4 linked regions of the Sus scrofa genome follow. The protein of the gene in region 3 interacts with the protein of the main gene of each other region in a pairwise test. Links are inferred from orthologs where the notes say so. Each region holds a gene or a part of one and is shown on either strand. Other genes may lie near its edges. The genes, in order: CDKN2C, SLC23A1, AHCYL1 and GEM.

Evidence for each region.
Region 1: the proteins of AHCYL1 (region 3) and CDKN2C interact in binary tests that used the Homo sapiens proteins (3 or more experiments, as listed by UniProt). The two-hybrid records come from large-scale screens. The link is inferred for Sus scrofa from reciprocal best matches to the Homo sapiens genes AHCYL1 and CDKN2C.
Region 2: the proteins of AHCYL1 (region 3) and SLC23A1 interact in binary tests that used the Homo sapiens proteins (3 or more experiments, as listed by UniProt). The two-hybrid records come from large-scale screens. The link is inferred for Sus scrofa from reciprocal best matches to the Homo sapiens genes AHCYL1 and SLC23A1.
Region 4: the proteins of AHCYL1 (region 3) and GEM interact in binary tests that used the Homo sapiens proteins (3 or more experiments, as listed by UniProt). The two-hybrid records come from large-scale screens. The link is inferred for Sus scrofa from reciprocal best matches to the Homo sapiens genes AHCYL1 and GEM.

The regions. Positions count from the first base shown.
Region 1 is NC_010448.4:161,162,466-161,169,881, reverse strand, and holds the start of CDKN2C (cyclin-dependent kinase 4 inhibitor C), read left to right. Parts: upstream 1-3,200; 5' UTR 3,201-4,447; intron 4,448-4,510; exon of another isoform or gene 4,511-4,900; 5' UTR 4,901-4,911; coding exon 4,912-5,040; intron 5,041-7,416. UniProt on the Homo sapiens protein: Interacts strongly with CDK6, weakly with CDK4. Inhibits cell growth and proliferation with a correlated dependence on endogenous retinoblastoma protein RB.
Region 2 is NC_010444.4:141,272,532-141,280,186, forward strand, and holds the start of SLC23A1 (solute carrier family 23 member 1), read right to left. Parts: upstream 5,025-7,655; 5' UTR 4,903-5,024; intron 4,557-4,902; exon of another isoform or gene 4,390-4,556; intron 4,099-4,389; exon of another isoform or gene 3,685-4,098; intron 3,667-3,684; exon of another isoform or gene 2,543-3,666; intron 2,517-2,542; 5' UTR 2,489-2,516; coding exon 2,453-2,488; intron 1,885-2,452; coding exon 1,750-1,884; intron 1,306-1,749; coding exon 1,148-1,305; intron 453-1,147; coding exon 364-452; intron 207-363; coding exon 139-206; intron 1-138. Other genes in the region: MZB1 (marginal zone B- and B1-cell-specific protein), read right to left, coding at 5,211-5,367, 5,466-5,576, 5,990-6,114, 6,871-7,071.
Region 3 is NC_010446.5:110,100,224-110,107,142, forward strand, and holds part of AHCYL1 (adenosylhomocysteinase 2), read right to left. Parts: coding exon 6,903-6,919; intron 4,497-6,902; coding exon 4,353-4,496; intron 3,352-4,352; coding exon 3,251-3,351; intron 2,819-3,250; coding exon 2,716-2,818; intron 1,584-2,715; coding exon 1,489-1,583; intron 906-1,488; coding exon 799-905; intron 1-798. UniProt on the Homo sapiens protein: Multifaceted cellular regulator which coordinates several essential cellular functions including regulation of epithelial HCO3(-) and fluid secretion, mRNA processing and DNA replication.
Region 4 is NC_010446.5:42,466,933-42,473,955, forward strand, and holds the end of GEM (GTP-binding protein GEM), read left to right. Parts: intron 1-525; coding exon 526-602; intron 603-1,383; coding exon 1,384-1,588; intron 1,589-3,650; coding exon 3,651-3,928; 3' UTR 3,929-5,009; downstream 5,010-7,023. UniProt on the Homo sapiens protein: Could be a regulatory protein, possibly participating in receptor-mediated signal transduction at the plasma membrane. Has guanine nucleotide-binding activity but undetectable intrinsic GTPase activity.

The sequences.
Region 1 (7,416 bases), on a different chromosome or scaffold from region 3:
AGAAGCACATAGGGACAAATCTGGGAGAGTTCTAAACACAAAACTTCAGTGTCCTGGACTCTTTAATGGAAAAGGCATAACATTTGGGGACCCAAGACCTGAGTTCACATCCTATATCCACTACTTGGCTTTAAGTCACAATATCTATAAGCTTCAATTTCTTCATCTGAAATATCTTATTTACCTCATAGAGTTGTTAAAATTAAATAATGTGTGCATTATATTTTATAACTAGGAAACACTATACAAATGATAATTGTTATTATGTTTAACCTTTTGAGATGCTTACTGGGCATATTTTTTCTTACTTTACAAAAAGACTTTCATAAGTGGTGTGAGTACCCATACGAAAAAGTCTGCTGAGTCTCAGAAATAAAATGCCAAAACCACAATTATGAAATGATAAGAAGGCCCCCTGAGGGTACTAATCTGTTTCCTACCTCTGTTGGATCCATAAATACAATAAAAAGAAGACTTTGGAACTATGTAAAGAAATTGTAAATACCATATACACATACCTATAAGTTAATCATTCAGAAACTATGCATATTTGAGTTAATGAGAGGAAAAGCACAAAATAATTTGATTACAGTATTTCTATGAACCCTTTAAAGAGCATGAACTGCTGCAAAGAAAAAGACTTCCATAACTTAATATTTTATATCGAACTAAAAGGCTCTATTTCTGCGTTTGTGAGAATGAAACATCAATAAAATAGATAATTATGAATGTTTCTTCTACACTATGTCATAATAGAAGCTTATTTAAGGCAGAGATACCTTTGAATCTATGAACTATCACTCAATTAATATAAGATTTACATTGGAGGTCCTTTGTAGTGCTTACTTATGCTTTCTGAACTAAGAATGCAACCTCTATGCTGCCAGTTGTGTTACACAATAAGCAAACAAAGCATATGTTTTAAGACACAAGGAAAGCCAGAGTGAAAGCAAATGAACAGAAACTTCCTTAAGGAATTTAATACTGCAGTAAAAGCACCTAAGTAGTCATCATGGGAAAAATCAGAACTTTGTTGGACTTCTTTACACTTACTTTTTAAGTTTTGTGTTATTTTGATTTATGTATGAGGTAAGACCATGGGACATCAAAATCTTTTCAGTGATTAGGATCTCCGAAAATCTTAATCCAGCTCGTGTATGCATCTTAAATTACTATAAGCTTTATTTATTCAGTTATTCAGCAAAAGTATTTTATTTCATGGCAATTATAACACATGTATACCTATACTTTACATAATGAGTACAATTTAAGATTCTTCCTGGAGTTCCTGTCCTGGTGCAGCAGAAGCAAACCCGACTAGGAACCATGAGGTTGAGGGTTCGATCCCTGGCCTCGCTCAGTGGGTTAAGGATCCAGCGTTGCCAAGAGCTGTGGTGTAGGTTGCAGACGTGGCTCAGATCTGGTGTTCCTATGGCTCCGGCATAGGCCAGCAGCAACAGCTCTGATTGGACCCCCTAGCCTGGGAACCTCCATATGCCGTGGGTGTGGCCCTATAAAGACAAAAGACAAAAAAAAAAAAAAAGACTTACTATAATCTCTTCTTTTAGCAAGAAACCATAATAAATGCTAGAAAGCAACATTCATATTTTTCAGAAACCATAATAAATGCTAGAAAGCAGCTTTCATAAATTACCGGTTATCTCTTATCAGCTAACAGTTCTACTATATCATCACACACCCCAGCTGTACTGAAAGATTACATAGTAATTTCCCAGAACCATTTATGTAAATTGTATTATCTGTGGTATTTACTGGTATATATGGAATCCTAAATCTTCTATTTGAAATATCTAAATACATGTAAAAATAAGAGGAGTTAATTTCTTTTGCTATAGTTCATTTTTCATTCACATTTCAAGCTTAGTTACCTAAAAAAAGAGCTCTGGTTATTTACTTTTTTTTTTCTCACCAATTCGGTTAAAGAGAACACTGCCAGATTCTTCCCAGTTTCAACTCTCCCTCTACAATCTGTTGCTAGATGATTATCCAGATATTGTTGGTGTGTTTTTTGTTGCTAATAGTCCCCGTGTACTTCAAGGAGCTGGGTATAGATGTTGCTTGAGGATATTATGCCTGCTATAGGCCAGTAATAGTTAGACCACCTGTCTTTTTTTTTTTTTTTTGCTTAGTTTCATTTTGACCACTAGGTGCACCATGCAGCAGTGCTGGATATTTTTAAGAGCAAAAAATATAGAAAGCAGTAGTTGATTAATCTTAAATAGCTACAAGAGGAAGTAAAAAGTACAGAGAACTGGTGTCCTGATGACTGACCAGGGAAGATACGATTCCTTTACATTTACATCCCCCAAAACAAGTCTCATCTAAGAAATTAAAGAACTGTGACAGTAAAGAAATAGTCTTGTTAGAAAACCCTTCCCAGGACTTATTTTTTATTTTGCTTTAAAGTTAGTTGCTTTTCTCCCTTTCCCCAAAGAAAGGGAATATTTCAAGTCCCTGTAACATGAAGGCTTCAGAGTTCGTCATGATTTCTTACCTATACAGTGCCTTCAGTTTTCGCAAAAAATAAATAAATAAATAAAATAAGAGGAAGAAGGCTATAAAAGACTTCTCCTTTTTCAGAGCACTGTTTTTGCTGTCATTTGGGTTTCTCCCTCAACCCCTGCAGCTACCTCTGTCCATCGTGGCCCTGGTCGTTGATCTGGCAGGTGCGAGGCCGCAGCTCTGGACTGAGAAAAGGAGGCCGAGTTGACACGGCTCGCGCCCCAGAAGCGGCGGCAGCCGTAGGCCTGGCTGCCCGAACTTCGAGAGCCTAGCGCGGGAGCGCGGAGGCGGGCCGGCCTGCCCCGCCAAGCCCGGGGAAACACTCGCTTCGGGCCAGCTTTCCGCCTTCCAGCAGCCAGACCCACCGAGCTTTGCTCTCCACAGCCTTAATTAACAAGCCTCTTTCACCCCACCTCCGCCCCACCCCCGCTCCCGGCCCCGGGCAGCCCGGGGTTCCGCAGACTCCATTCCGCCCGCCAGTGGGAAGAGGTCAAACCCTGCTCCACCGGGCCGAAAGCCGCTCGAGCTGGGGCCGGGCCTCCGAGCTGGCGGGTGGGAGCCAGCGCAGGAGACGGAGGGAGGAATGCAAGCTGCTAACAGGCTAGAAAAAGGGCGCCGGGCAAGGGGCGGGGCGAGCCCGGCCGAGAGCTCGAGCGCCGCCAGCGCGGAGGGCGGGGCGTGGGCGGCGCCCTGCGTTCCCGCTCCCGCGGCCAGCAACTCTGCAGAGCCTCCTTAAAACTGCCGTTAAAATGGGGGCGGGTTTTTCAACTCAAAAAGCGCTCAATTTTTTTCTTTTCAAAAAAAGCTGATGAAGTCGGAAAAAGGGAGAAGAAACCGGCACCGTCTCTGCAGCAGCAACAGAAGCAGCAATTGTTTGAGCGAAAAAAGAAGCAAGGGAGGGAGGGAAGGAAAAGACCAGAAAGGGGCACGACGCACAAGTGTCTGTAGGGGTGAAGGGAGCCGGGACCGGTGATTTGAGGGGGACCAGCTACAAAAGAAACTGTCACTGGGAGCGCTGCGGCTCTGGAGGAAGCAGTGCTACCCGGCTCCGCTCCGGGCACAGCTGGCTGGCGGCCTCTGCCCTTTCGGCGCCACAGGCTGGGGGCACAGGCCAGGGGACCGCGAGAGGTTGGCGAAGTGGCACCGGGCGCCGAAGCCGTTGGGCTTTCCCCGAGAGGGCAGCGGGACTGGCTGTGCCTTGGAATTGTGGCAGCACCCCATACTCAAAGCTTGGCCTGGGACCTCCGGGGACCCTCGCGATCTCCAGAGGACCTCAGAAAACCGGGAAAGGAAGGAAAAGAGGCGGCGGCGGCTGAATGAACTTCTGCAGTAGGAAGTCTGAACTGGCTTGGTCGTAGGCGGGAAGTTCCCGGTGGGCTGCCGTGTGCGACCGCGATGCTGCAGCGCGCTGCCTCAGCGGACCCGGACCCGTAGACGCTTCCCGCATCGCTCTCCCCCGTCCTCGCTTCTGGAAGCCCCGGGACCCTGTGGGGCCGGCATGACCGGCTTGCCGGGGACCCGCCGCGCGCCCGGCCGTCTCCGGAGACGCGCGCCGAGCCTGGCTCCCACGGCCTCTGAGGCTCGGCGGGGCTGCGGTAGCCGGGCGGGCGGGCTCCGGAGCCCTCCCGCGCGGCGTTAGCCCGCAGCTCGGCCCGGACGCAAATAAAGGCTCTTCCCGAGAAGCCAAGGCCACTGAGGAGCTGTTGCGATCTGTAACTTGAGGGCCACGGAACTGCTACTCTGGTTTGCTTTTGGCGATCATCTTTAACCCCCAGAGCACGTCAGCAGCCAGCCACCGCGGCGCTCTCCCTGCAGCGGAGGACGCACGACTACTCTTTCGGCGAGACGGATGGAGACCGAGTCCCCCCGAGGACCTGCCCTGCGGTTCTGGCTCGCGTGGCTCAGGTCACCACCGTGAACAAGGGTGGGTGAATGCCTTTTCTTCCCCCAAATGTCTCTTCTTCCGCAGTATTTTCTTCCCTGATCTAGTCCCTTAAATCTCCGCACACATTCCTCACAGAGATTAGCAGTGTACGTACGTGACAGCTCAGCCTACATTTTACGTCCAGAGTAATTTACCAGGAATATATGTGTGTCTGCATATCTCTCTGTTAATCACTAGACTTCTTCATAGGGGTTAAGCTAAAAAGCGAGGAGCGGAGCCCCTCTCCAATGGCTCAGTTTTGCTGAATAATCACGTGTGAATCGAGGGGCGGGCTTTTGGCAGGCAGATCTTACTAGTATTTACTACCAAGCTCTACTCCAGATTAACCATCCCAGTCCTTCTGTCAGTCTCCGATGCCATCATGCAGCCTGGTTAGGAGCAAAGGAAAGGGGAAAAAGAAAAACAACTAATTCATCTTTTCCCGATCGTCAGGACCCTAAAGAATGGCCGAGCCTTGGGGGAACGAGTTGGCGTCCGCAGCTGCCAGGGGGGACCTAGAGCAACTTACTAGTTTGTTGCAAAATAATGTAAACGTCAATGCACAAAATGGATTTGGAAGGACTGCGCTGCAGGTTGGTATCCAGAGAGGTGGGGAAAACAGGTCAACAATGTTGCCTACGTGACCCGGGTTTCTAGAATAATAGCTTTTAAGCCTTCAGGGGTACAAAATTTCACTGTTTTTAAAACTAGTTGGTTGCCATATTTTATATCTTTAAGTGGATCCAACTACCCAAAATGACGTACTTTGAACGAACTCGTCAAATCCAATAATATCCTCGATATCAACTGGGTTCCAGGTTTGGTCTTAATTTTTGGAATGTTTTTGTGATGGTGGGGATTGTAAAGCATTCGTAGCAGCGCGGAGTTTTTTATTTTTGGGTTTTTTTTTTTTTTAGACAGCTCTGTAAACACATTATTATGATTATTATTTGAAGTAAATACACTGCTATTAGTGGTTTCCGAACTTTGCTCCAATAATTGACTTTAATGTTAATTTTCTTGACTACTGGCGAGGGTGTTTTTCTTCAAAAGCTTCAAGTTTTGACAAACGACCTTTCCTCGTTTGGAATGGGTGGCCTGGGCACGGGCACAGGATGTACATTTCACAGTTAATGTAATACCGTCCACCCATTCAGGATTGAGGAGGAATAGAAAGTTGAATTTTCTAATCAGAGCTCAGTTTATAGTGTTTTTGTCTCTGTGGTCATACCGTGGTATGTTCTAATTTTTAGTAATTAGATTTACAAGCAACAAATGAAACACATCCAGCTGCCAAATAGTGTACCTGGTAATTTTTTTCCTTCTCTGAACTGATCTTGTAACTTAGTTGAAAGACTTAGAAACAGAAAGATGGTAAAGTAGTCTCAAATTGTTGATCTGAGTTCTGATGATATTCTTATGAGCTCTTCAAAATGCAACACTTAAAGCTGTTTTGAAAATCCAATGGGAAGTGGGTTTTTAGAGTGCCTTATTTTAATCGCAAATATTAGAAATTTAAGTGGCAGGAGATGTATTATTAACAGACGAAGTCCATACAGCCTGTATATTTTAACAGAATACACTGGCCTTGCAAAAAATTTCAAATGTATTAAGGAAGCTTATACATAGATACTAAATTATTTATCTTGTTATTTCAGGCAGATTCATTTTTCCACCTAGTAATTTGGTGATGATAGCAATGCCACAAATATATTGAAAAGTTTCCTATTGAAAATTCAAAGTATTATATATATCTTACAAAGAATGAGCCACTTAACCCTCTACGAATAAGATCTTACAGGGCTTTTGATGAGCACGAGGACTGGGAGATTAATACTGAAAAAAAAAAGTTCTGACAAACATTTTTAATACAACTCTGCAGTCCTGTTTATATTAAACATACTTATCAAGATACTAACACCCACTTATTGTGGTTTAGCCCTAGTACATAAAATGAAACGCACACAAACAGGAGTCTCAAGGCTTATTTTCAGTATGTATAATCCTAACTCTGAAGTTGTGTCATAACTCAAGAAAGAACTTTCTTTCAAAACAATTTCTACTATTACTATTATTTTTCTGTGAAATATGGCAGATTTCCTCCTGCAATTATGTTTAACTCAATTACAAAGGATCTTCCCCCCTTCCTAGTGTAAGTTTCTTAATCAGGATAATATCAAAGGCCTTGATCGTACATGTGCTTTACAAAGATCCAAAGTGTCTGTCTCTCATTTTTCCCAGTCCAGGTCCTTAAATGACTAATATTTAGAGGTAGTTGTGGTTAAAATTAAATTGTGTTAATTTTTAATAACCAAAAAGTATATGTCATTGATATTCTTGAAAAATAAGTTATGTATCATTTTTAACCACTGCCCCAAAGGAAGGGCTAATGGTCAGCAAGGTTTTATCACCAGGGAAGCTTGACATCTTGGCCATCTATATAGTTTGCACTTATAGACTATTATTCCTTTTAAATGTATGTTATTATATTACTTAATTTGTGATTTTTTAAAACAAACATTCTAAAGAGATAAGTCAGCTTCGTATGTGTTTTCCAATGTATATTTAATTTCAAAAACATTTGAGTTTCTACTATGCAATCTATCATAAATTTAGGTTATTATGAATATACCTAAATGTAAATTTAAAATATTAAAATGCTGAAATTTTCTTACACATTAACAAGACTGTATTTTTCACAACTAAATTACATGTATTGTGTAACTGCATGCTGCTCAAGATATTTTATAATTATGAGAGTCTAATAGAGACCATTAAATAGAGTGAAATATATTTAAACACCGGTAGACGTCTTTGTCTTGTGAATTATCTGTATGTGGATAGCAGATTTTAATACTACATTCTGACTTTAAAAATATTGCCAGTTTACAAATAGCTATTCCTAAATCCCTGATGATAATCGCAAAAAGAAATAAGATAGGATCACCAGTTGATTAATAAATGGTCTG
Region 2 (7,655 bases), on a different chromosome or scaffold from region 3:
CCTGTGGAGAAACCGTGACCTCTGCCTTTCAAAAACGTTCCAGGGCTACATCCGCACATCCCCCACTTCAACAGTGGCCTCCCTCCCCGCCAGCCCCACCCTGAGGGCCAGGTCTCTTCCACCCACGAGCAAACCCACCTCTCGCATGCGTGGATGCCAGACGTGAGAGGTGTTCAGAGGCAGGCTCCAGTTACCGTAGATCTCCTCTGGGGGCAGAGACAGACACAGACACAGACACACAGACACACACACGGAAGAGAGACACAAAGTCAACCTGCTGACCTGAATGCGCCCTGGGGTCTGGACCCGGGATGGGTGCCCGGACCTCCAGGCTCCTGGGTCTCCCCTCAGAAGTGTGCCCACCTTCCGGGGGGCATTTCCATCTCTCCAGTGCCAGGATGGACTTGGCTGGGACCAGAAATGCAAAGGCGCTGGCCTGGAACAGCGGCAGCCTGGAACGAGAGGCACAGAGCCGGGGGCACAGGGTGGGAGGTGGGGAGGCAGAGACACAGAGGCAGGGAGACGGGGCGGCGGGGGGCACGGAAAGAGGACAGGGGCGTCACACACAGGGACAGAGCAACCAGGGCAGGGGCAGAACGGAGGCGAGCCATTGAGGCCTCAGGCAGATTCCACCACATTTAGGAGCCTAAGAAGGAAAACAAAGGAGCCCTGGCCTTCCCTGCGCCCCCTTTCCTTCTCGGCGCCAGCTCCTGCCCTGTGAGCGGCCACGGGCACAGTCGTGGACACCAAGCCCCACTCACAACCTTCCTCCATCCTCTACCACACGACCACCCAGTCTTAGCCCCCCGCCCCGGGCCCAGGGCTCTGTGTACGTGGAGGCAGGGGGGTCGCCAAAAGGATGGACCACTCAAGAGTCCCACGCAGGCCCTAGAAGCAGGGGAGCGGGGGCTCCCCATTACCCGGAGTGACGCTTAACGGGGGAGAGTCCTGAGGGGCTCCCCGGGGGTCGGGGATCGAGGGTGGGACACTAGCTGCCCAGCTCTAAGGCTGGCCTGGGAGCAGGAGCGGCAGGTGGGGGCCGAGAGGAGGGGCTTCTCTTCTCCCCCAAGCTGCTCTGGGACTGCGCCTACCCTGGGGATTCCTGGGTGTCTGTCTGTCTGTGGGCAGGTGGGGTGGGGCGGCTCACCGGATGCCCAGTGTGGTCTGGATGAGGGTGGTGATGCCCACACAGGTGAAGATGGTGCCAATGAGCTGGCTGACCATGTACTGGTCACGGCCCACACACAGCGCCTCCGCCAGGAGGAAGGGCACAGCGATGGTGCCGCTGAAGCAGGTCAGGTAATGCTGGGGGCGGGGGGGGGGAGGGCATGAGGCAGGGCCCGGGCTGCCCAGGGAAGCAGGGGCACCCCCCCGCAAGCCCCCACGCCTGCCTCAGTGGCCCAAGCCCATGCCCACCCAGGACTGGTGCTCCCATCAGGGGTCCCACAGAGGGACTGCTCACCTCTCTGGGGTGACTAATCTGCCCCTAAGTTATTCCTGCAGCTTCTGTGGAGTGGCCCTCTTCCCTGTGGCCGGCACGCCGCCTGGCAGGCGATGCATCGTCCCGGGGGTGCAAACCTGTTGCAGGCTCACTTGAGCCTCTTCCCCACCCCTGCTTGGTGACAGTCACGGCCGCTGACCTTAGGTTCCTCTTCCTGTTACCCAAGGTGCCCTCGTTGCCCAGGGAGGGGACTGCAATCCTGATGAGTGTGCAGGGCAGGGATGGGAAGGCCCCGGGGAGACACCCACCTGGAAGCCGAGCAGGATGCACAGGTACCAGGGTGGCACGTCCTCGAGCTTGTACAACATGTCAGACTTGGGCTCTGTGGGCAGGGCCCCTGGGGGCTCCCTCGTGGAGGTCCCTGCTGAGCCCAGGGACTTGTGCTGGGGGCGGCAGAGAGAAGAAACTCAGCGTGGGGTGATGGGAACCAGCAAAGTCCGTCCTTCTTCAGAACCAAGCAGGCCCGTCAGCCTGGCCGAATGCGGTCGCCCACCTCCACCCAGGTCCATCCACCCAGCTGCCCCTCGGCCTGGCTACACAGCCCCCACATCGGGCTGCTTTGTGCAGCGATGGGCCCCACTGTGCTGGCTCCCGGAGCCCCCAGGTCCTGGGCCTTCACGCCGAGGAAATGGGTCCGTGAGTCAGAAGGCGGGACACCAGGCGAGGAGGCCAGCGGGGCTGGAGGCCTGGGCCCACTCTGGCCCCACCTCTGCCCCTTGGAGGACCTTGGGACATCACGAGCAGGTGGTAGGCTGGGCCCCTGCTGGCTGGCCCTCAAGCTGGAGTCAGCCGGTCCCAAAGCCACAGGCTCCTTCACCCCTACTGCTGCCCCTTCCCCGTCCCCCAGTGGCCACAGTCCGCCTGGGACCGTCACCCTTGAGCCTGGTGAGCAGAACCTTGCCCTCTGCGTGCCCAGGGCTCAGCCCCCCGCCCCGGCCCCATGCCCAGCACCTGGGTCGGGCCCTCGGCGTCCTCCCAGGCCCTCATCTCTGGGGCACAGGTGTGTGAGCGGTTCCTGCGGAGAAGAGGGGATGGCTTTACCAGGTCCAAGGAGGACTTTACTCCACGTATCAGGCATTGTTCGAAGTCAATCTGTAACCAGCTCCCGAAGCTTCGATTGCGAAAGAGGACCCAGGCCAATGTAACGTATTAACCCTGGCCGTAGCGGAAAAGGCCGCCCAGGCCTCGGCTCAGGCTTCCCTCCCGAGCACCCCCTTCCTTGCCCACACCCGAGCCTGGGCACGGGAACGGCTGTGTTCCAAGAGAGGGCCGGAGCGGCCGGCCTCGGAAGTTTATCAAGCCCTGGGTGGGGCGAGAGGAGAATGGGCACCTGTCAGCCCCCGGAGGAGGCTCTCCCCATTCATTAATGAGAAGTTAATCATTATCATCATCATAACCCATCTCCTTATGAAGCAGCAATTACGAGCCAAGCAACATCTGCGCACTGTCATGGGTTTTTAACCCCAAGCGCTGTGGGCAATTAACCTGCTCGAGAGCCGAGGAGAGCGATTTAAGCGATTTAAGCGATGCGGGGAACCAAGGCCACGCAGGTGGCAAGGCTTGAGAAAACCATTCTGAAAACGTCCCCGTGGTTAAGGGTTTGGCGTGGTCCCTGGTGTGGCTCTGGTCTGATCCCTGACCTGGAAACTGCTGCGGGCTGCGGGCACGGCCAAAAAAAAAGAAAATTCAGGTTGGCCCGAACGCCTGAGGCCACGCTGTTCATCACACCTTAAAGGCCCTAAGGGGTTGCCCTCTGCCCGCCCCCGCCCCCGCCCACTGCTCGCCCCGTCAGGGTCCCCGAGACACCTGACAGATGGGCCTCCGGAGAAGGAGCTGCCGAGGCTGGCCCCGTCTTGCCTGTCCCCTGTGTGGGGACAGGAATCCCCCCTGCGACCAGGACCAGCTGTGTAATCCGTGGCACCCGGTGCAAAATGAAAACGTGGGGCCCCTGACCCAGAAGTACTAGCCATTTTAAAAGAGAAACAGCAGAGCCTTAAGCAGAGTTGTGGGCCCTCGTGAGCCCCTGTGTGACCGCCACGGACGCCCTAAAGCCAGCCCCCGGCCGGCCTGTCCCCCACTCCCGGGGACTGAGGCTCCTCAGCTGGCGGGAGCTGGGCCTCAAGTCCTGGCTCTGCTCCTGCCGGGCGGCCCCAGCCCCACACCCCTTAAAGGCGTCCACCTACTTCTGGGTCGCTGTGCCCACGGCCAGGCCCTGCCCCGAGAGCTCACAGGTACCACCGCTGTCCAGCCAGGGAGCAGCCTCATGTCACCGCCCTGAGTCGGCCTGGCCGCGCTCTCGGGTCCGTCCCTCTGACCGCCGCCGTCCTCTCCTCCACCTTCTGGGCTCCTGCTTCCAGCTTCCCCAAGTCGTCTGACCAGTTCGAAGCCGCTGCTCCTCAGCACATTCCTCCTCCCTCCCGGCCCCTCCCCAGCACTTCCCCGGGGACTGGGGGGACAGCCCCACCCCTCGCACACCGTGTCCATGCAGAGACACGGACCCCGCGCAGAGCCAAGGCCAGGAAGTGCCACGTGGCCCAGAAACACAGGCACCCAAAGGACCCACAGCGCCCAGACTCTGAGGCCGGGGCCAAGCCACTCCACGCGAACACGGGGCCACACCGCGGGCTCCCAGCCGCGTCCCTGCTCCTGTGCTCGGCTTGTGAGTTCTCCCCTGGCGTGAGGGCTGCGAGCAGGAGGAGCCTCTGGCAGATGGGGAGCAGCTGAGGGATGTAGAGGCTGGGCTGGTGGTCAGGGCCCCCCGGGCAGAGCCTCTGGCCTCCAGCCCTGACCCACCCCACCCCCCAAACTAGACCCCCCTCCCAGCCCGGCCACGTGAGTCTGCCTGGGACTCCGGCCGGAGCCTCTTTGTTGTCTGAGCCTTGGTTTCTGCATTTGTCAACTGGGGATTGAGTGTCTGCTCTACCTCTCAGGGCTTCAGCCCATCAGAGCCTCATAGAGGAAACTATGGGCGGTAGTGCCACCTGAACTCAGGCACCCAGACCCAGGAAGGCCCCGGGCGCAGAGCCCGTCTCTGTTGCTACGGAAAGGGCCTCAGGTGTGAAGGATGTTGGGGGGAGAGCAGGGCACAGAGCCCAGAGCTGAAGCCAGCCTGTTCCAGGGAACCTGCAGGCACCTAGGGCCCAACCATGCCAGCTGGGGTTGGAGCAGAATCTAGAAAGTGAGTGGCCCATGGGTGTAGGCCCAGGGAGACCAGGGTTCCGGGCGGGGCACCGGGCACACGGCAGCGGTGGCAGTAGGCGTCCACCGGCGGCCCGCTTGCAGAGTTGGCTTTGCCTCTCTTTTCTCCCATGATGGAGCTGGAGTTTCAACCATTCAGATAACTGGTTCCCTATGCCTTTGACAGGTCCCTCTGATTCCCAACCGTAGCAGATCTCACTTACCTCCGGGAAGCCCTGCGGACGTGTCCCTGGCCCTTTCGGAGGGACGTCAGCAGAAACGGCAATGCTATCTTCCCAGCCCCCCCAAGCACCTTTTGCAGACAGGAGGGTCCGAGGTCACCAGGTTTTATTTGAGTCCAGGGGGCAGACCTTGGCCCCCACCCGGGCCCCAGGGCCCCCAAGCGGGCGTGGGGACAGAGAGTGTCAGCACAGACGACAGCCTTCCAGGCAGCTTGCAGAACGTAGGGGGGCAGGTCCGGAGGAAGCCCGGCGCTCCTCGGGGCCGACCAGGAAGGACAGGAGGAGCGGGTCTAGAGCTCTGCCCGTGGGCGGGGGGTCTCCTCGGAGCAGGCCCCTCGGGGGCCCCCACACAGCAACGCCTCCAGAGCCTCCGCACCTTGTCGGTGGGCTTCATAGATCTGGTCTTCTCCAAACTCCCCCACGTAGTGCCAGCAGGTCGTGGCGAGCCTAGGGCCGCCCGGCAGGAGCATCAGACGCTGCCCAGCCCACAGCGGGGCTGATCCAGGCCGCCCGGGCTCCACCCACCCCAGCCCTCCGGCCATCACCTGCCGGGCCACAGGCCCCCCGTGATCATCACGCTGATGCTCGGCTCCCGCCCCTTGCTAAGTCCTGGGCCTACGAGTCGTTTCACCTGGTCCACTTCTCGAACGCCGTAGCTGGAGGCAGGGGGAGGGGAGGAGAGGGGAGGAGAGGGGAGGAGAGGGGAGGGGAGGGGAGGAAGACAGCACAGAGTGGAGCCCGGCCAACAAGGGACCGTCCCCACAGGAAGCTGCACACACCGGGGCGTCTACCGAGTTTCGTGCCCAGATTCTGATCCTCCTTGATGGAAGACGGAGGACCAGAAAGCAGAAGTCCCTAGCCCAAAGTCCCAGAGCAACCATGTCCCCTGGCCGCTACCCTTCTACAGAGCTCAGACTCTGTCCTGGCCAGTCCCCCGCCTCGGGCTGGAGCCCTAGTAGAGTGTGGGCGGTGTGTGGGTAAGAGGGTGAACCACCCCCGCCCCCCCGCCCCATCAGCCTGGCCCCTGGAGGAGGAAGGGAGGGAGGGAGGGGCCGGGTTTTCAACTCACTCCTGCCAGGTCTGGGAACAGCTCTGATCCAGAACATCTGTGTATACGGACTCACTCAGCCTGTGATGGCCCTCGGAGTCCAGGGTGTGAAGCTTGGCCTCTGCCTTTGTCAGATGTTGCTGCATCTGGAACAGAGGCGTTGAGAACCAGGGCTTGAGAAGGTCTCGGGGACCGGGGATGGAGAAGGGAGGGAGGGCAGGAAGCTGGGTCTTTGAAGAAGAAGGAGGCAGTGCAGCCTTTTGGACAGGAAGCACCTGTGAGCAGACGAGCTCCACTGCCCAGGGAGGGGCGGAGGAGGTGGGAGGTCAGGCCTGCGCACTGGGCTCCCCCCCAGGGTACACCTGCCCATCAGCGTATGCTATTTTAAAGCACAAGAACAAGGAAAAAAACCGCCCAGTCTTCAGTGACACGTGTACTTATCGCCCCTGCGCGTGCACACACACACACACACACACACACACGAGTACTCAGACCAGCTCGGCAGGTTTGTATGTGAACTCAAGACACACACACGCTCGTGTATCCATGAACTCAAACGTGATACGTGTGCACATACGCCAGTGCTCCCTGGTCATGCTCTGGGAAGGAGTCCAGACCTAGGGATGAGCCTGGAAAGGGAAGCGTCTGAGAGGATAAGCTAGGGACTCCCTGGAGTCTCAGGATACCGTGGGGCACCCTAGATGGTCTGCTCTTTGTTGGGCAGACAGGTAAACTGAGGCATGGAGGTTCCAGGGGGTGAAGATGGCAATACCATGGCAGGCTGAGTCTAGCTTGATGCCCAGCGGGTGGGGGGTGGGGGGATCAAAGGCCAGTGCTGGAATCCGAGGAAGAAGAAGGGGTCTGGCTTGAGGAGGGGCCCCGGTGGGGGCAGGAGAACTCACCTGGTAGACCACGGCCCTGCAGGCATCACAGCGCAGGTGAGCCGGCATGTGAGCTGAGTACTTCTCCTCGTCATCCAGCTGGGGGGCAGTGGCTGAGAGTGGGGCCCTGTCCCCAAGGCCCCCTGGGATGGCACAGGCCCCCAGCAGCAGTAGCAGCAGCGGTGACAGCCTCATGGTCCGTGGAGCCGGCTCAGTGAGCATGTGCTGGGGTTGGGGTGCAGGTGCGTGTGCGCAGTGGGGGCCGCCCCAGACCAATGAGGAACTGACATCTCACCCTCCCTTTCTCTCCCCACCCCCACCCAGGCCCTGGAGACGCCACGTAGGCACCTCTTCTAACGGGACCCTGGCGCCAGCAAATTCGGCTCCATTGCAATGAGAGGAAACAATGAGGCCAGGAGAGGGGCTGCGCCTGGGCAAGGACACCTGGGGGCGGACACCTCTCTCATCCTGGGACCTGGCCACCTGGCAGGCACTGTGCTAAGTTCCGTGGGGGCAGGATGATTGCTTATTGTCATCTTTAATCTACCCCCGCCCCCCAGGATACAAAGGTTCAGAGAAAAGTGACAACTCCAAGGCCACACAGCGAGAGGGGCTATGCTGAGATTGGAACCCATGCCTGGTTGACCCCAAGGAGTCCCGGCCTCTCAGCCACCAGGAGAAATGAGGCCACAGGCATGGTTGGCAGCTTCGGGCTCCCTCCCCGAGAGGCAGTTCGCTGAGGCAGGGACGCCACGGTGTATGAAAGACACGCACGGTCCCCTGCCCCAGGCCACAGCCAGGCCTGG
Region 3 (6,919 bases):
TTAGCTGGTAAGACAAAGGAGCTGGCAAAGGCTGCCTAATTCTCTTCAAGCTCCATGTTGCCCTCCCCAGTCTTACTTATAGTCCATGAGTATTAGTAAATAAGATGCTTCTGCGTTATCCCTCCTCACTTCCTTTCATTTTCTCCTCCCCACCCCCCTTTTTATGGAAGGGAAAAAAAAAAAAACAAACAACCCTTTCAACTGAAGAAATTTACTTCTCTTCCATAAAGGGGGATACAGTTGATTAGACCAGCATTTTCTCAATTGTTAAAAAATACTCATGTCTATTTCTGATAAACGAATATTATCAATGTTTCTGATATGGTTTCATGTGGCATGTGCCGGGGTGTATGTGTTTTTGTTTGCTTAAGCGTGTGCAAGGTGCCCCAAACGAGAAACACTCTCTCAGCTATCTTTTAGGTATTCCAACAATACTTTACCCAGTTCTATAATGTGTATATAACATATGGTTTTACAATAGATTTTTTTCATATTCAAATATAAAATTAAAATACATAATTGAATACAGTTTTTCAAGATATACTCACTCCCTACCTCCCAACACTGATTGAGACTCACAGTGGAATAAATGGGAGAGAAAAATGGGTGAACGAGAATTTGAAATAATTTCCCTTTAGGGTTTCCTTGATTTTTGCAAAGGTAATAACTCAGAAGTTTTATCTAATGACAACACTCCCATTTAGTTACAAATCTGAAACACAGCCCTACAGCCTAGGAGAGACCAGAGGAATCTGCTGCGGCAAGGACACGAGGGGCAGCTACTCCAGAATCTGTTACCTGTGAACACCAGTCACGCTCTCTTCCACAATGCCTCGGATCTTCTTAAACACGTTTGGATACTTCTTATAAACCCAGTGGGTTAAGTCTCCCCCATCATCCAGGATCTACAGAACAGCCAGAAGACTTCTATGGGCATTCAGGCTGCTAGAGCTGGGGGGAACTTTGAACCCACTTTCTGCACTAGTAAGAGAGCCCTGTTATGTTTTGGAAGAGCAATTCTCAGTGCTCCTTAGAGCAGGTTCGGACAGCGGAAACACAGTCAAATTTGTTGGTGTAAATGGTTAAAAGGGTTCCTAAGTTTGTTCTAGGCTAAAAGTGAAGAGTAGTAGGCTAATCACAGACTCATTTTTTAGTCTAGAGGACTGAAATACAGGCCCTTTGAATGCAAAAGGAGAGCTGGGGCAGGAAGGAAAGAAACCAGAATTTGATTCCAGAGAGGTACCATATCATTTTCTTCAATTGCATTCTGCTGTGTTTGAGCCACATGTGTTCAGTTGGTCTGACCCTTCCCCCGCCTCTCCATTCTGTACTCAGACCCATTCTGAAGAGCTATCAAGGTAAACATTACGGCAACAAAGTGAGTGCATAAGACCAAATATCCAAAACATATTTAGGGAACCATGCTTTGAGGGAAAAAAAAATGAAAGAAATCCATCGTCAAAGTGTAGGATGAATATGCATTATTACCATGTTGGCTTGCCACCCATCCATGTTCACACAGCGGTCAATACACCACCAGAAGTCATCTTCCGACTCGCCCTTCCAAGCAAACACGGCAACTCCTGTGGTACAGATGGAAAGAGATCAGCTGATTCCTCCTTTGAAGAGTGTCCTATACCAATATCACTGTCTGAGATCAGACGAAGAGAAAAAGGCTGTAGAAATTACCCTGGAAAGGAAACAACTGATGAAGGGCAAAAAGTTAAAAGAGCATCTTTAGTTCAGAAATTAGTTAAGAATTTTAGGGATTTTTGTTTTTTAAAGTAGTTTAGAACCTTAAAATGTTATTCTCTTTGGCCAATTTTATGCCTGAAACTCTATCTTAAGGAGATAAAGTGGGAATCACCACAAAGTTGTTCATTACAACATTACTTATATTAGCAAGTACCCTACAGTTTCAACAGTAGGACAACAGTGAAGTGGAATCACACGGCCATAAATGATGTTGTCGAGGTCTGCAGTGACATGGAAACTACTTCTGAAAATGTTCTATTAGGTTATACAACTACATATATTACTGAGATTTGTTTCATCTCTGTAAAAAGTAAATAGAAGAAAGGAAAAATATGTCAAATATTATCTCTGTGTAGCAGGATTATGGGGTTTTTTGGGGATCCTCTTACATTTTCTGCAATAAACATCAGAAAAGAGTAAATAAGAAAAACAAAAGTATTATAGAGTTGCTTTCTGAGGATCATAGGAAAAGGGGAGAACCTTCCTAGTGATTTTCCTTTGAACATTTGAATAATAAAAACTGTTTTATGTTTAATTGAACTCGTAAGTAGTTCATATATTTTTAATGCAGTACTGAATACCAAATTTTATAATGAATGAGGAAACAGAAGATACTTCTTGGGTTCTCTCAAAAGTGATGAGATTTTTGTGAAAAGACACCAACTGAGCGCACACTTACATAACTCACTCAGCTTAAAGTTCTTTCTCATTCATTTAACATTAGAATTGGGCATTTTCCTATGTATCAGATTCTTTTCAAAGATCATTTTAAATGACTATATAATCTTTCACTATGGATATAGACCTTTATTATCCATTTCCTTCCTGCTGACATTTTTATTATCCTCCACATTTTATAGCCCCTAGACATATATGACACTGTGAAGATAATCTTGATATGTAAAAATTATGTTTAGATAATAATTCTGAGGCAAAATTGGTGAAATAAACTGAACTTACCAGCCTCAGCCAGTGCTGCAGCCACTTCATTCTGAGTGGAGTAGATGTTGCAAGCAGACCAGCGGCACTGAGCCCCCAGGGCACAGAGTGTCTCAATCAACACCTATGTAGTGGTATAGGAGGACAGGGTGAGAAAGAGAAGGGCCAGAGAAGAGTCGTAATTGAGAGACTAATACCCAGCAACTCGGCAGCAACACAAGTTGCTACACTGGAAGTTACAAAAGGGTATAACCCACTAGTTAGCACAGTGGAATCTAACTTTACCCAAAAGATGTGACCCCCAAAGTCTTAATAACATTTTTATAACAATCATATTTTTGCAAATCTCCCTAAGGTTTGTTAAAAGGTTACACCTATACAAACAAAGTAGGAAACCTCAGTACTGTGTAATTGAGAGGTTCTCTCTAGTAGTTAGCATTTGGAGGTTAGGTAAATAGGGAAGCAAAAACAAGTTAGAAGAAAGAAAAAAGAAAAAAGAAAAGGTCCCTCTTCCTTGCCAATCAGAAGTCCATCACTTTTCTCCCAAAAAACTCACCGCTGTCTGGGCTGTGATGTGTGTACAGCCCACTATTTTAGCACCAGCCAAGGGCTTCTCCCCCTGAGCACGTTTCCTGAGTGAAATCAGAGCAGACATGTCTGTGAAAGAACAGAGGATTTGAGCTAGGTCTGCACTAGCAATATCATTAATTCCTGCCCCAGCAACATCTAGGGCTGGTCTGGATCTGTTGAGATACGGAGGAAAAACTCTAAGCATATTTATTTGATGCCTGGTAGCTTCAACTGCCGAACAGTGGGGAGTTGTCATCTAAGCACTTGAAATTTCTCTCATCCTCACTATTCTAGCCTTATATGTAGAGGGCTTATATGGAGTCAAATTCTCAGGTGATCACAATGGAGGGTGAGAGTTACTCTTCATTTGGGAGAAGAGGGAAGTAGTTATTGGCTAATGGACTCCCACGTATTACAATCTTCAGAGCAGGAGCAGAGACTTTACTTCAGCAGAAACCACTTGCTTCTGTTTTTCCATGCTCTCTAATCCTATTCTGTCAGTCTGTCTGATTTCTACACATCCTGCCAGTAGAGAAGGTGCCTTCAGTGTGAAAGCGACAAAAGAGTAAAGAGACCTTATTGGGACGGGGGCTGGGTAAAGAAATCAAGATTTAACTGTCAGTCATTTTCACTCTTGCTCCAGCAGAGGGTGCTCAGGATCAAAGACCAAATAAGACCCTAGGTCACCACTTCCTTAGCTGAAAACCCTCCCCAGTTTGCTGCTTCTGGGAAATCTGGGTCTCTACCATTGGCAGCTATGGCAAGATCCTGCAGAACTAACCACCATGTGGCATCTAGGACTTGCTGACTCCGCACGTAGATCTGTGAATATGGAGTCGGGGGAAAGGAAAAGAGAAACTACTCTGTAATTATTACACGCCGAGAACGGGAAGCAGGGAGAACAAGAATAAGAACAGGAACAAGAATCCTGAGGCTCAAGCTCCATACAGGGAGAGCTGTTTATATAAAAGCCCAGGATACTTTCAAACTCAAAAGTTCCCCAGGAGACTTTCAAGCCTTAAGTTTTCATGGATCCTGATGACCAGCAAGTGGGTTGCTTCTGGTCCCTACCCAGTCCCTTTCTTTACCTTGTTCTGCAATCTCAATCTCCCGGCGTCCAAATTCTGCCTGCTTGATGTTCTTCACACAGAAATTGCTGCTGCCCTTGGAGTTGGTTTGCTGCTTTTCTCGGGGGGAAACCTCATCATCAGAGCTATCTGTGTAGGATGCAGCTAGAGCCAGGAAAGAAAGAAATGAGGAAAGAAAAACTTGAATGGCCCCAACTCCACAGGGTGCAGTCCCTAAGGGACTGTCATTTAAGTTAGGTGACACTCAGTTGGAGCCACCTTTTAAGTCACGCTCCATTCTACTCCTCCAGGGTCTTCTAAGAGATGGTATGAATGAAACTATTGTAGATCTTTCAGTGTTGTGGCCCTTTTATCCACCCTGATGACACCTTGCCATGAGTGCCTGTGATAGGGAGCTACTGATTCCAAACCTGCATCAGCTCAAGTGAATCCCTCAAAATAGGGACACTTAGTCTCAACCTGGGTTGGAACCAGACATGGCAAAAATGGAAGAGTAATTTAGGGCATATAAGGAATGCTATTTATATCAATGGTTCTCAAACTTAAAATTCTAAAGCATTCATGAGAATCACATGGAAGGTGTGTCGAACCATAGATGGCTAGGCCCCACTGCCAGAAAGTCCCATTCGGCAGGGCTCAGGTAGGACCCAAGATTGAGCATTTCTAACAAGTTCCTACGTGTTGCCGACGCTGCTGTTGAGAGGACCGTACTTTGAGAACATTAATAGAAAAGGATAAAAGCAATGAAATAATCTCATAAAATCTTATAAAGGGATTTTATACTGGTTGTGCTAAGAAACATAAAGAGAATGACACAAAAAGTGAGCAGTTCTGGTTATACTGCCGACTTTGAGAACACACAAGATATTCAACTTAAAAAAGCAGCTTCACAAAAAGTTAAAAATGTCCTTTCAGATGGATATACAGGAAAATACACAACAATCAGCCCTTACCTCTCAAATAACCTCTTTTCTAGCAGAATATTTTTCTGATTGCCGTCTCTGCCAGTGTGTCAGATCTCTGGCTGACTTCTATGTACACGTCCTCTTTCTTTCCAACTACCACAAATACTCCTGAAGGTTATCGACCCCATGAGGACAATTTAACTTTATTGTCCTTTAACTTTTCAAGCTTTTAAAAATTCTCTGATAGGTCCCCATAAAACATGGTCATGAAAATCTCTGAAGACTTCCTTGGAATATTCTTGTGGTGCAGTGGGTTAAGAATCCAGTATTGTCATGGCAGTGGCTTGGGTCACTGCTGTGGGATGGGTTTGATCCCTGGCCCAGGAACTTCCACATGCCATGGATTCAGCCAAATAGAAAAACAAACAAATAAACAAACAAACAAACAAAACTGAGCAATTCCTTAAAGCTTTCTTCACTCATCCCAACTTTCTCTTATAACTCAATCTTTCAAAATTCTTTCTAATTAGCCTGTTTGTCACCTACCACTTTTTGTATCTGTCTCACTCCAAGACACCTTTTCCCTTATGATAGTGTTATATCTGGAACCTTTTCTTGCACACATGCCCACAGTGAGCCTGCACATTCATTTATTTCAGTACCTAACCCTGTATACCACCATCTGTACTTGTCTGCCTATCTTGTCTATACTGGGTTATCAGTGGCACAGGGCAGAGAATAAGTCTTTGGAAATGTTTATTTACTTTTTAAAAATACAGTCCTTGTACCTCAAAGCCCAGTCCTTAATATTAATAATACAATGCAAACAAGATTCTGGCAGAAGAAAATAAATAGCTTTTGGTACAAATCTCTTTCCTGACACTCACAGCCATCTATGACCTTGGCTAAGCCTTTTAATCTTTTAACAATGTTTCCTCAATTGAACAATGAGGGGGTTGGATTAGATGTCCAGTTTTTTCCAGTCCTCAAACTAGGATTTTATATCCTTTTACATGTTAATTTTCTAATACCCCCTTAAAGTTGAGAAGGGCACAATTCAAAGCAGAAAAAAAGGCTACTTATACAGGGTTAGGGTACGAGAGGAGAACCCTAAGCAAACAGCTGAGCCACACTACTTTGGCTTTTTCCCACTCCAGAGGAGGATATTTCAATGCAAAGTTAACCTAGTAAATAAAAAGAGCCCAAAGCAAAAAAGAAAAATAGGTGACAGGGTCTATCTTAAACAAACAGATCAGAAATTATGATTCCAAAGTACACCCCTTTTCCAAGGCCAGTTCTGTCAGCCAAAATACCACTGACTCTCTCTCTTGGCGATGTGGATGGATAAACGTGGGAATGGGTCCTGGCCCAGCACTACCAACCAGGCACCAGCCACAGTCCGCCCACAGAGACCATCGGGGAGGGAAGTTCCAAGATGACAAAAGCTTCTCCAGCTACAAGCCCGACTGGGAACATTCCCATTGCCCAACCGCTAGTTAGGAGCTTTCAGCACAAATACTTGAGGTAGTCCTGACTTGAGGTATTTTCAGATGCTAGCTGAGTGAAGAGAACTGGGTAGAGAACTAGCTCAAGGCTCTGGAACAAGGAAGAGAGGCCAGAGAGAGAACCTGAAGTTCACACCTACCTGAACTGTAGCTGTCA
Region 4 (7,023 bases), about 68 Mb from region 3:
AAAAAAAAAAAAAAAAAAGGCGCTACAGTGAGTTTATCCTCCTAAATAGTTTTCCTATATGAAAGATATAGGAATGATGAAAAAGGAATCCTTTCATTTCAGGTGTTTAATGATACATGTTCCAAAGATGAAGTTCTTCTGCTTAGTAGATATTGGAGGAATATATGTAGAATGTTGTTGAAGGTGACTCAAAAATAATTTGTCTTAGAGGTCCCACTGTGGGCCAGTGGATTAAGAATCTGACTGCAGTGGCTTGGGTCACTGCAGAGGCACAGGTTTGATTCCTGGCCTAGCACAGGTGGGTTAAAGGATCTGGCATTGGATTCAGTCCCTGGCCTGGGAACTTCCATATGCCAAGAGTTCGGCCATTAAAAAAAAATTGCCTTTGTGAACTTTTACATATTTTACTTTGTATATGTACATAATTAATTGCATATTTAGAAAGTTTATAGCATCAATTTCTACATGGCCGTCTTATATAAAAGTGTTTAGCTGACCTTAATATTACTGTTCTTTCTTTTCCAGAAGATACATATGAACGAACACTGATTGTTGATGGGGAAAGTGCAACAATTATACTCCTGGACATGTGGGAAAATAAGGTATGCAGAACCTGTAAGTTCCTTCAAGGCTTGCCTTCCACCAGGCGGTTTGGTGCAAGGGTGACATTGTCCTTTGTGGGCAGTTCCAGATGAGTTGAACTCATTTTCTTGATTAAAAGCATTGACTTCTAAAGAATGAAACTGTTCTAAGGAACAAGTTGTTCATAAATGAGCTTTGAATACCAAGCAAGTTGCAGTGATTTGCCCTTCTATTCAGAAATACCAAAAAGTCAATTTGTTGTAGGGAAAGTGCCAATAAGTATGGATGATCATTTTAAACTGTGTAAAACCGTATTATACGACCTTGATACTCTCCATCCTAGTTTTCAGCATGTGCTTTGTAGAGATCTGGGGCTTTTGAGCATATACGTTAGATTTTCTGTTTATCGAGAACCTTCTGATGCTGATGAAGGAATTCTTGATTTCATCGGTTGGAAGAGGCGAAAGAGTTTTTTGAAAGCCAGGAAAGGCTCATTTGGGGTAGTTTAAATAAAGTTGGAAATACTGTTTGGCAGAGTCATTGTATAATTTATCAACTCAAGCTGTGAAAGGAGTCAGAAAGTAAAACTTCTTGGCATCCGTACCCCATGAGCCAGCAGTCTTTGTAGCCACAGACATCTTGTAGGCATGGAAGACCAATGCCTTTTGGGGAGTCGGAATGAATTTTCTTTCTTTCTCATATCAGCAAGGATACTTTAGGATACACGCATGGTTTCTTTCAAACGGACACCTCATTTACCAGCTCATCTGAACTCAATGGGAGTTCTTCTCATTTCATTAGGGGGAGAACGAGTGGCTCCAAGACCACTGCATGCAAGTCGGGGATGCCTACCTGATTGTCTACTCCATCACGGACCGCGCCAGCTTCGAGAAGGCGTCTGAGCTGCGAATCCAGCTCCGCAGGGCCCGGCAGACAGAGGACATTCCTATAATCTTGGTTGGCAACAAAAGTGACCTGGTACGGTGCCGGGAAGTGTCTGTATCAGGTGAGAGGAGTGGTGCCAGTTACCACAGACACTATCTCTGGGTCTTGGGTATTTTCCTTTAAACAGTTGCTCTTCCCTTCCTCTTACACAAAGCTGGAACCAGGGACTCTTAAGATGCCACGTGGAGTTTTACGCACACTCGAAGACACCCACATTCCCAATAGATCATCTGGTCTACCTGCAGGATTTCAGTCTCTCCATCCCCAAGCTTTCCCTGGAATTCTTTTAGAGAAGAGGTCATACTCGGGTTTACTGGCAGTTCCCAGCCCTTTTTTCTCATCCTCTCTATTCTCCAGGGACATCTCTCAAGAGTCCCAGGAAGTGAAAGTAGCACCTTCATGCAAGAAGGATGGGAACTTTGATTTCAAGAAACTATTGAGATTAAGAATTCTACTCTGGCTGCCTCTGATTCCTGTAGACCCTAGAAACACCCTTCCAGCCCCTACCCTTTGCTTCCTGAATAACCTTAACCTTAACTTTCCAGTTAAGGTGCCAGTCCAATGGCATCACATATACTTTGTCGTATTTAGTTCAGGCATGATTCCTATTTGTTGAGTTGGCACCCAGTGCCTTTGGGGCCCTTAAAATCTTAATTTTTTTTTTTGTCTTTTCGTCTTTTCTGGGGCCACACTCACTGCACATGGAGGTTCCCAGGCTAGGAGTCGAATCAGAGCTGTAGCCGCCGGCCTACACCAGAGCCACAGCAACGTGAGATTGAGTAGAGTCTGGAACCTACACCACAGCTCACGGCAACGCTGTATCCTTAACCCACTGAGCGGAGCCAGGGATCAAACCCGCAACCTCGTCGTGGTTCCTAGTCAGATTCGTTAACCACTGAGCCATGACAGGAACTCCCTAGGGGCTCTTAAAATTTTATTGGCCTAATTCAAATTTGGTACAAGGGTGAAAAAACAAAATACTGCATTGCCAGGCTCCGCCCAGGAGAAAAGAATGCTGTTAAAGACTAAACAGACCCAGCCAGCTTGGGAATGTCTTACTCTTAGGAAATGACTGTCTGCAGGAGTCATTTTTTCCAAAACCAAACTTGGACACCTGGTCATTGAACACAATGGAGCATTTGAAATTGAGACTGTTTCAGAAAAGCTTTTTTTTGTATCATTCGCCATAATTACACTGTACATGTGTGAAGATCCTCAAAATTTTTCAAAATAACTCATGAAAGCTTAAATAGTTTTTTTTTTAAGTAGGATTCTTTTTGTTTCTTTATTCATTTTTTAAACTTCTATTGAAGTAGAGTTGATTTACAATACTGTGATCATTTCTGCTGTACAGCAAAGTGACTCAGTTATATGTGTACACACATCCTTATTTTCAATTCAGAAAACTGAGTCAAGAGAAAGTTCTCTTAACTTGAGAGTGAAGCGGGTCTGGACTCAGATCCTCCACTTACAGGTTATATGAACTCCCTCAAGTTTTTAAAGGACCCCCCCCCCCCATCATCTACTGGAAAGGGATAATGTGTTTTTAAAGATAGTTGGGAATGTCTAAAAAATGTTTATACAAGATCCTTCTGTATAGCACAGGGAACTATATTCAATATCCTCTGATAAACCATAATGTATATATTCTTTTTCATATTCGTTTCCATATGTATATATAGGTATGAATCACTTTGCTCTACGGCAGAAATCAACACATTGTAAATCAACTACATTTCAGTAACGCTACAAAAAAATGTTTATGAAGTATTTAACCCAGTTCCTGGCACATAGTAAGCGCAATAAATTAAGGCTATGGCTTTTAGTATTGGATGGAATTTGACAATATTTGATGTAATTGGACCTTCACACAGGGTTTGGCAGGCCAGATCTAAAGCCCATCTCTCCTGCTTCTGGCAATCTTCCTGTGAGATTCTGCTGTTTAAGCTCCAGGAGGACACGGGTCCCAGGGGCCTCCGTATCCATTGCATGTGTGATGGACTTAGCATTACCTTGAGGACCATTTAAAAAGAGGATTCATCCAGCTTGGCTGTGTGTGTGTGGGGGGGGATGCTATTCTGCAGCCCCTCTGACTTTCTCCTCCCCACCCCACCCCCAACCAGAAGGCAGAGCGTGTGCTGTGGTGTTCGACTGCAAGTTCATTGAGACCTCAGCGGCTGTCCAGCACAACGTCAAGGAGCTGTTTGAGGGCATCGTGCGGCAGGTCCGACTCCGGCGGGACAGCAAGGAGAAAAACGAGCGGCGACTGGCCTATCAGAAGAGGAGGGAGAGCATCCCCAGGAAAGCCAGACGCTTCTGGGGCAAGATCGTGGCCAAAAACAACAAGAACATGGCCTTCAAGCTCAAGTCCAAATCCTGCCATGACCTCTCTGTGCTCTAGGTACCCAGAGTCACCCAGATGTCCCCCGATGGACGTCACTGAAGGCCATTGGGACCCATAATCTATATTAGATTGGATTCTTAAGTAGTGTAAGATGTGGCTTCCCCTGTTGTAGCTGGGAACTAACATGTTCGCTGGTGGGCAACATTAATGCATGGGAAATGAAAGATCTTTGTAAAGAGTCAGTATTTATTTACATGAAAAGCCTGACCTTTGCTACATGGACACCCGAGACTCGAGAGAGCGTGGTTGGTGTTCACATGTGTTTCCTCTCTCCTTTGGTTTGTAGAGGATGAGTGCCTAGGCAAGAACTTTTTCTTATTAAGATGTTGCCCGGTGTTCTGATATGTGACTCTGAGGCCAATCAGTGGGTCATAGATATAGGAAGGCTGTCAAAGGAATTTTTCAAAGGAGGGAGAACTTCTTTCTCTGTACCTTGTATTCGTGGAGCTAGGATTGCCCGACGGGGCTCATCACAATCATGACTATGATGCTCCATGAAGCTGTGAAAAGAAATGATGGACTTGCTGGAAACTAAAGCTTAGCAAACAGTTTTTTGTTCAATGCCCACAGTGGGGGATCCAGAAATTTGTAGAATTGGGAACTGATACCTGTACCACTAATGGGTTCAAAAATTCTCTCTTTACGACTGTGTCTTATAATTTTTTATTTAGGGGAAAATTATTTTAGCCAAATTCTATTGCATCAAACCACCTTTTGTGTTTCATTATTTTTCAAATCATAAGGGCATCATAAAAATATTTTTAAAATCTGAATTATTGAGAACCTGGAGCGCACAATGCAAAGTTTTTGAATATAATCGAAGGTCTGAATTTTTATAAAACATGAGACATAATACTTCCAATACTTTGGGTTGACCCTTGTATACCACAGCTTTGCTCTATTTATTATTATTTTGCAAAATAACAACCATTTTAACATTTGATAAAGCATATTTATGAACATATTTCTTAATGAGAAAAATGCTCATTTTATTACCATTTTCTATCTTTTTCAGAATATGCAAGTTTTTATCTATATGTCTTCTAATAAAAGAAATAAAATATTTGAAAAAAAGGCATTTCTAAATGTTTTTTCCTTCCCTACAAGGTGATTATGAATATTTTGCTATAGCTTCTAGAGAAAGCACATTATAAAGAAACACACTTATTGTATTTCTTCACTTCACTGGTGGAAGCCCAGTTATTATCTGGTGGGTTTTTTTTTTTTTTTTTCGCTCTTTATGGCTGCACCCGCAGCATGTGGAGGTTCCCAGGCTAGGGGTCAAATCAGAGCTGTAGCTGCCAGCCTAAACCACAGCTGTAGCAACGCCAGATCTGAGCTGTGTCTGCCAACTTCATCACAGCTCATGGCAATGCCGGATCCTTAACCCACTGAGTGAGGCCAGGGATTGAACCCGCAACCTCATGGTTCCTGGTCAGATTCATTTCCACTGCGCCATGATGGGAATGCCAGTGATTGTCTGTTTTAAAGAGTATCCCTGACATCTCTCTTTTGGAATGCAATTCGCAATAATGCAAAGTGATTTTTGGCTGATATAATTTGGAAGTATTTGGGATCCTGTAAATGCTATGTTACAGTAAAAGTGAGTTTGACTTTCATTTTGGTCTTGCAAATACCTGGCTCAGCAGATGGGCCTTGCTTTGCTCCCCAGAGGCTCTTGGTCCTAAGTACTAGAGGAAATTATAAAGGATTAGGGGTGGGGGGAAAGGAAACAGGTGATTTTCAGCCTGAGATCTAGCCAGGCAAGGCCTTAACTGCATTCTGTCCCTGACATAATTCAGCTGGACATTAATCACGTGGCTGCCATCCAATGGTCACATGTCATCTTTCTGCTGGAGTGAGACTTCGTGGTGCTCCTCATTCACCTCTCTGACCCCCACACGCACCCTCTTTCACTCTCGCTGCTAACGGTGACAGTCATGGGACCTTGCATGGTGTCCGGAGCGTCACAGTTTTACAGGATGTCTCTGCTCAGTGTTATTGGCCCTTTCTCCTGCCTTTTCCAAGTTGAGAGCAAAGGTTCCTGTCTCTGCACTTTGCATCTTTGAATTGCTCAAGGAAACAGTACAGGGAAGTGATCAGAGTATAAAGATTCAGGTAGCCCAGGCCCAGGCTGAATCTTGGCTGAGCCATTTAACATCAGTGTGACTTTGGAGACGTTAAAGGGTAAAGCTTCTAAACCATGACTATTTTTTTTTTTTTTATCTGTAAGTGAGATTGCTAATAATACCCACCTTGTAAGATTGTGAGATGAACATCTTTCAGTCTGTCATACTGTAAAGAGCTCAGGAGATGGCACTTTTCATTGTCACACATCTTCCACTTTCCATAAATAAGTTTTCTGTGTCTGTCTCCCCCAACTGGAATGGAAAATCCTTAAAATCAGAGACCATTACTGCTTTTCTTTTTCATCTCTTTACTCTCATCAGTGACGTTCCCTGCATATGTTAAAGCTTTTTATATTCTTTCTTCTTGAATAGATACTCCCAGTGGCCCCATGAGACTGACAGTCCATTTTATAGGCAAAAAGGGCTGGGGGTGGGGGGTTAAGTGACTTGTCCCAGTTCGTTCAGATGTGCAGTGTCTGGGCTAGAACTGGTGTCCAGATAGGATTCATTTGTATCTTCTAGAATCCCAGCCCGTTTCCTATACACTCAGCTCATGGACCATCACCCCTCCCTCCTCATACACCACATACACCACACCACGTCCCCCCCACGCACACTGCACACCATGCACACACATCCCGCATATACCACACTAAAAACACACACAGCACATACGAACACAGCACACACATATCCCACTCCACACATACCACATATATCCCTTACACACCTCACACACAGACATATATTCTTTTTTTTTTCTTTGCTTTTTAGGGCCACACTTGTGGCATGTGGAGATTCTCAGACTAGGGGTCAAATTGGAGGTGTACCTGCCGGTCTGTGCCACAGCCACAGCCACAGCCACAGCCATGTAGGATCCAAGCCACATCTGCAACCTACACCACAGGTCGCAGCAATGCCGGATCCTTAACTCACTGAACGAGGCCAGGCATCAAACCCACA